Linked DNA regions of Lepisosteus oculatus. Each later gene encodes a partner of the first gene's protein in a complex. Links are inferred from orthologs where the notes say so. Each region holds a gene or a part of one and is shown in the gene's direction. Other genes may lie near its edges.

Evidence for each region. The genes of interacting proteins can lie anywhere in the genome.
Region 2: pigf (region 1) and pigo share a complex: the UniProt entries of both Homo sapiens proteins name them as parts of the ethanolamine phosphate transferase 3 complex. The link is inferred for Lepisosteus oculatus from reciprocal best matches to the Homo sapiens genes PIGF and PIGO.

What each region holds. Positions count from the first base shown.
Region 1 is NC_090712.1:13,355,999-13,359,750, forward strand, and holds the start of pigf (phosphatidylinositol-glycan biosynthesis class F protein), read left to right. Parts: upstream 1-905; 5' UTR 906-987; intron 988-993; exon of another isoform or gene 994-1,182; intron 1,183-2,033; 5' UTR 2,034-2,055; coding exon 2,056-2,283; intron 2,284-2,654; coding exon 2,655-2,746; intron 2,747-3,160; coding exon 3,161-3,277; intron 3,278-3,752. Other genes in the region: cript (cysteine-rich PDZ-binding protein), read right to left, coding at 27-92, 433-448.
Region 2 is NC_090698.1:67,287,248-67,290,999, reverse strand, and holds the start of pigo (GPI ethanolamine phosphate transferase 3), read left to right. Parts: upstream 1-1,605; 5' UTR 1,606-1,846; intron 1,847-3,268; 5' UTR 3,269-3,269; coding exon 3,270-3,747; intron 3,748-3,752.

The sequences.
Region 1 (3,752 bases):
GTAGCGTAGTGCATTAGTTAGGGTACCTGTTGTGTTTCTGGCTCCATCTTTCCATGTATCCGGAGTGATGACACGGCCGAGTTTCTTTTCACCTGCAAATTACAAAGAGTTTCAGCCAGAGATGAACAGCGGAGTCGCCGTCTCTTCGTTTAAGATCACACGACAGGACGTCTGCCAGTAATACCTACAAACGCCTAGTACAAAGGAAACTAAAAGAAATGAAGAAAATAGTATACAATCGCAATTGCCTCACATTAAAAATGAATGGATATACTGGTTATGTGACTATTTTTTCTAGCATTTCCACTGCGGCACAAATTGTAAACAGCGAAGCAACGTCCCAGTGTTGGCGATTATTACGATTATCACGGAGAGATGATCAGTGCGACCTGTATTCAGAGACAACTATAACAAAGTCACGAAACCACTTACACTTCTCACAAACCATCTTTCTCCTCTCTTAAAACGAGAAAAAAAGAAAATCAATCCACCTACAGCGGAGAAAAGGAAAACAAACTATCTGCTCTGCCGGTGCCAGAGCCGTGTGACAACTTCCCGTCTCGTCCTTCCGTTCAGAAAGAGTGCGTACTGTATACTTCAAACTAAATAAATGCACCTCGACTGTAATTAACCCCCTCTTTGCGTCATTCCTGTACCACCGGCTTTACGACGTCCACTGACATGGCAGAAATAAACTACTGAACTCTACATATTATAGTAAACACATAAAATATATGGGTGTTTATGCGTCTCAAAAAGAATTTACTCCTTCCGGCTAGTCTGCCGTAATATTTTGCATTTTCCCAGGGTTTGTGGGTAGTGACCTTAGACTTTATCCCCGCCCACTCGGATGGCGATTGGGAATCGGTATGAAGCAACTGTTTGATTGGGCAAAATGTACGTCAAGCAAAACACGCCGTGACACCCCCCACGTCCTTGTTTACGCTGTACTGACCTTGCGCAGAATATATTTCATACGGAAATCAGGTATGAATGATACTGTTGTGGGCTATTGTCGTGCATTTGTGCACCACGACTAAAAAAATGGAAAAACACCTTTTAGAGGCTACGTGTTCTTGAGAATAATTCAGATTTTTTTCATTCGCTTGATGTATATAGTAGTTTATTATTTTTTTCCAACGTTGAATGATATTATATAGCAACAATCCGTCCATCTAGAGGGTAAGCCATTTCTTAAAATATAATTACGATCCTATTTTCTCTTGTTGATTATTCAGTTTTATAGGCATAATGTCTGCAGTTTCTTACGCAGTGCATAGTTTTTTGCAGTTTTAAGTTTAATTGGAACGGTAGAGATTTGATACTTGATGATTTACCGGGGCTTGGAAGAATGCTAAAGATGAAATATAACTTTTGAAAAGTTGCAGCTCCTGTAGGAGACGCCAGACCTCTACAAAAGGGTTCCCCGTGTATGTTAAGTTTCTGAACACTGTGACGGTTTGAGACAGAAACTTGTAGTCAGGTTTGCCTTGGCCGCCCGTCTTCAGCTACTCTTGGCTGATCACAAATCCCTCAACGGATATAGACGTGGTGTAAAGCAGTTTTATTCTTTTTTACATTAAAATTGATTTTGAAAATGTCCGATCTTTTGTACCAACGACATTTAAATATTTTTACCTTTTCTACGCAGATTTAGATAAACTAAGGTACAAACACTTAGCTAATATACAGAACCTGGTGATTGCTTGTATACAGTAAGAATTCGCAGCTCCGAAAACCCAAGTTGAGTTTGTGTCCTCTGCACTGGAAGTTTTCTTTACGCAGCTGTATTAGAGTTTTAAGGAAATAATAATTTCTGACAAAATTGAGAACACAGATGGAACTGAAATCAGGTGACCACGTGTCTTCTTGAGTACAGATAGCCAACACTATACAGAGGCCTTTGTCAGCTGTTTTTGGATGTTACTATTGAGTGTTGTACCTTAGCAAGCAGTCTTAAACTCCTGATATTCCCCAGACCTGAACTGATTTAAGTATCCTGAAGTTGGTAGTATTGCGTGCTTGTTTTCCAGCCTGGAATCACCTAGGATCACCATGAAGGATATTGAGATCAAGGGAATGATTTCTGCCCATACCATCATGGCAGCTTCTGTCCTGATGGCCACAGTACTGCCCCTTCTGTTTGTGGATGGGTTTTCAGTCTATGGCACACACCTTGTGTGGCTGTATTCTGTCTCTGGAGCTGTGGCTGCTGTTAACATCACTGTCTATTGGCTGCTGGGCATCAGTCCACCATCTAAGAAGAATACTCTGAGTTACAAGGTGAGGTCTGAGGGAGACTTTCTTCTCTTTGCAGAATCAGCCTGCTTTCACAGGTATTGCACAACCCAATACAACTTTTAAATGTTTTCAGTTATCTTTTTAAAGTACCTTTAATTCAGTTAATGCAGTTTAATTTTAAAATGGAAGTAACACTAGAATAACTGGTATATATGAATCTAGAGATTAACTATATGAATAAAAATACTCTGCACTTATAGTTGATATAGGGACTAGAAGCTTTGAGTGGTTTTCTGTATGCTTGTCCATTGAATTGCATTGGTCTCCACATATATCATTTTGTGGTAACCGAGCCAGCAAACACTATAAAGATATAGTGGGTAATTATTAAACCTGTTTGGTCTTATCCATAGGTGTCTAAAGCCTTCAGGTCCTGCCTGTATTTCATATTATCCTGCTTCCTGTTCCACACAGTTGTTGTCCTGTATGGAGCACCTTTGCTGGAGTAAGTACTTAACAACAAGTCACTAGGAATAGTTTGTCCTGTTACTAAAATGCTCTGCCTGTTCATGTTTCACATCAGGACATATGAGTCAAATAGTCAGTGATGTTTTTGAAAGTCTTTCTCTTGTTTCATTGCATCCTGCTGGTGTGACTGAGATTTGTTTAGGAAAAGTAATTGCTGAGGTCTGAAGTGCCCCACCGGATCCCAGCTTGAAACTAATCCAAACCCTTTTAGAGTGTCTTAAATATTGTCTGAGCAGCGGGTGTAATATTCCTGACTGAATTGACACACATTCCTGGACCAAGAGCAGGGTGTTTTACCCACAAATCATAGCACTTTGCATAAGTGAAATAAAGACCTATTTTCTTGCAAGGACAGGGTGTGCCTTGCTAGGATATGTGTTCTCTTTTCCAGGTCTGCGCTTGAAACCTTTTCCTTTGCTGTCCTGCTGTCCACATTCACCACCCTGCGCTGTCTCTGCATCCTGGGGCCTAACGTCCAGGCCTGGATTCGTGTTTTCAGTCGGGATGGGTGCGTCTCTTATTCTGACTTTCGCACCGCCTGTTTCTGCAGGGGAAGTACCGTTTTCCGGAGTATGCAGAAAGCAGTCCCTTTTGTTACTCACAATCAGATAAATCAGTTTGAGAGCTTAGAAGTGGAGGAGCTTATGTGCATAAATAGGCTGAACTTGCATGAGCATGTCAGAATTTCTATGAAGTATTTTTCAGAATAATATTAAGTGTTTTTATATAAGTCATTGGGCTTATATATAGTAAACAGTACAATTTACTGTAACTGTAGGACCTTTAGTGTCCTACCTTCTGTAGAATACAACAAAACCTATCCACAGGGCGAGAAGAGTCCATTTCTTTCTGAGTGTAATGTCACTGGCAGTTTCTTGTTGGTGTGCAGGAGCTAATGAAGGGAGGAATCCTCGTCGTGTTTTCTTTTTACCTTCAGTACTGACGGCTTTGTAACACGAATGACGTATGCACGGTATATATCA
Region 2 (3,752 bases), on another chromosome or scaffold:
GACCAAACAAAGGGCATTGTGCTGGTGTTGTTTCTGAAGCTTATATATTATGTAATGTCTCAACATTTTTTATTATTAAAAATAAATTAAGGTGAAACAGTTTGTGGTATATTTCTGATACAAATGAAGCTGTGCAGCTTTGTTAGCTGCACAAGACCTTAAGAGGCATAATTAGGTTATTAATGGATAGGTAGAGATTGAATTCATGATTAAGAGAAGACAGGGAAGGATGCATACAGACGCAACTCTCGTGGAACCTAGATAAATGTATTAATTAAAATCCTCTGAAAGGCATAAAAACTAGGAGATAAAAGGTTCTCCATTAATTTTGTTTGATATCCTTGCCTTATAGTAATTCCAAGGAAGAATTATAATAAATGTGCTCGCTAAAACAAACGTTCTATCGAACACTCCATACTATTGTATCATATTTGATTTATTTAATACAAAATTTGTATTAAATATCCTTTTTCAACTGAATGCCACTTAGCCAACGACAGCGAAACATGATGTCTTGGTATTTATGCAGTGAATACTGTTAATAATAATAATTGCTTACACTTATATATTGCTTTTCTGGACACTCCGCTCAAAGTGCTTTACAGGTAATGGGGATCCCCTCCACCACCAACAATTTGTAACCCCCACTTGGATGATGCAACGGCAGCCATAGTGCGCCAGAACACTCACCACACATCAGCTATCAGTGGGGAGGAGAACCGGGTGATGAAGCCAATTCATAGATGGGAATTATTAGGAGGCCATGATTGGTAAAGGCCTATGGGAAATTTGGCTAGGACACCAGAGTTACACTCCTACTCTTTTTGAGAAATGCCCTGGGATTTTTAATGACCACAGAGAGTGGTCGGCACCTTTTAACTGTATAGTGTCCCCATCACTGGGGCATTAGGACCCACATAGACCGCAGGGTGAGCGCCCCCTGCTAGCTGCACTAACACCACTTCCCAGCAGCAACCTTAGTTTCTCCCAGGAGGTCTCCCATCCAGGTACTGTCCAGGCTCCCACCTGTTTTGCTTCAGTGGGCTGCCAGTTGTGAGTTGCAGGGTGATATGGCTGCTAGAAACGTATTTATTTCCCAGTCAAATCGTAATTTGTAATCGCTAGTGTTTCGAAATCGGCGAAACCTTCTCTAAACTCCTTCAAATCCAGACTCAAAACCCTCCTTTTCAGAAAAGCCTTTACTTAACTGCTTCCATTCTTCACCCCTCTGCTCTTCTTAATACCATCTTCCACGGTCTCCTCTATTGTTATTGTTGTATTGTTGTAATTATAATTGTGTCCTGTCTTGTGAAATTTTCTTATTTATTGTTGTAGTCTTCTTATTTATTGTTATTGTCATCCTGTAAAGTGCTTTGAGAAGCCACCTTTAAAGGCGCTATATAAAATAAAGTTTATTATTATTATTATTATTATTATTATTATCCACTTAAAGTGCATCCATTTCAATTATCGACAGTGCCCCCCGACACCGAAGTTGTCATTACCCTTCCGCGACACTAGGTGGCAGAGTTCATATCTGTCGCTCCCAGCAAGCAGCATCCGTGTGTGACGTCAGTTGGTACGTTTGTTGTTCTTCTGCGTGGTACTTCCTGAATCGGAAGGGTTAGCCGGTACACGCTTTCTCCGTGTGTCTGAGTGAATGAAGGGAGGTGGGGCGGGAGGCTGGGCAGAGTTACCTGATTCCCTATCTTTTCTACAGGGGCCGGGTTTATGAAGGTGTACGACTGACCCTGAACGAGGGCGAAGGAGGGATTGTTTTGGGAAGGAGGCATACCTGCAAGGTCAGTTTGAAGGCGGGTGGGCTGAATAGATTCCAAAGCTACAGGTAAGGTAAAGATAAAGAGAGCAAAAGAAAATAGCAAGATTTTCTATTTCAAAGATTTTGGTATGCCCAGGATAGGTTGTGTATTTTTGGGTTGGATCTACTGTAGTTTGATTTTTTTTAACCTGGGATCATTATTCTTATATCTGTCCAGTTGATGCTGTTGTGCAATAGTTCAGCATTTTGTGTGGTCAACAGGAGTTAATAAAACACGCTTATTTCTTTATGAATGCGTTATGTCTTGTAAGTGAACAAATACGTGGTTGAGCTTTGTAGCTCGGTGGTTTAAGCAGTTTTTTCCCCCGTTTTCAGATACAAGTAATATTTTAGTACTAACAGACGAAGCAGTTGTTGTACCCGATTCTGTAGAGTGCAATTTCTTCATTTGACATTCATCAACACATAAACAGTTAATATAAAGCTGCGATGTTAAAAAAGAGCTCATTTTTTCTTGTGGCTATCAGAAGCACAGAGTCTTAACTGTGGCAATTTAAATACATTAAATGTTTCGCGCAGAAGTATGAAAGAATGATCAAATAGAACAAGAATTTGAGTTTTACATGATCAAACAGAGTTACCGTCTTTGTAGCCAAACCTTATCAGATTTCAGAAGCTGAGCAAGGATATGTCTGGTCAGCACGGGGTTGGGGACCAGCGTTTCCCAGTGACTAAGGACACTGTGCTACAGGAGGTGTTCTGTGAGTAAAATCACTACCTAACCACTGGTGATTATATAGACTGGTTTGTGAGAGCATGGATCTTAACCCAGAATTTCTCAGATCAGTCTGGCCAGTCTATGATGTCCCCATAAAAAAATCAGTGAAGAGGCATCTGCTGCAAAATGGCTGCCATGTGTCACCCAGAGGGTACTCAATTATTAGTGTATTTGAGAAGCCACCTTTAAAGGTGCTATATAAAATAAAGTTTTTTTATTATTTTTATTATTTATTGATGTGGTTATCGGCTGATTGACAAGGTGGGTTGACCGCCATCTGAGATCCGTCATATCTAGTTACTTCCCAAATAGAAGCTTTGAAACAATCTCGGTTCTGTCTAATTTGTGGCTTCCGTCGTTTATTTAAGCCACGTTAATCGCAGGTAGCCTTAAATCTGACGGAAAGAAAGATGTAGGTGGGCAAATATGAATCAGCCTGGGCTCCAAAGGCGAGGGCCAGCTCTTTATCCTCCTCCTCCTCCTCCAGTCTGAGTAAGGTGCGTTGCCGTTTGGGAAATACTCCAGTCTGCAAGATTCACTGTTAATATTCTAAGACCTTGTTGACAGCACTCAAAAATAAAACGCGTGACCCCACCCCCCCCCACCTCTCTGTCCCTCCCCCAGGGTGAATCTTTGATGATTTTTTGCGGAGCCGCAGGCAGGACCTCCCAACCCGCCTGAGACTGAAAATCCCCCCCCTCTTCCCGCAGGATGAGGAGGGCACCCGTGCTGGCTCTCCTGCTCTGGGTGTGCGCGCTCTTCTGCGTGGGCATCGCCCTGTTTCTGGGGGGCTTCCTGCTGGTGAGGGTGGAGGTGAGCCGGAGCAGCTCCTGCGCGGACGCGCTCTCCCCGGGAGCCCCCCGCGGGGGCTTCTGCGAGGGGGCGCCGCGCTTCCGCAGGGCGGTGCTCCTCGTGCTGGACGCGCTCTCCTTCGCGTTCGCCCGCCACGACCCCCGCCGGGCGGCCCCCCGGCCCTGCGAGAACAAGCTGGGCGTGCTGAGCGAGCTGGCGGCCGCGCGGCCGGCTCACGCCCGGCTGTACCCCTTCAGGGCCGACCCCCCCACCACCACCATGCAGAGGATCAAGGGCTTCACCACCGGCTCCCTGCCCACCTTCGTGGACGTGGGCAACAACTTCGCCTCCAGCGCCATCCTGGAAGATAACCTCATCCACCAGCTGGGGCAGAATGGTGTG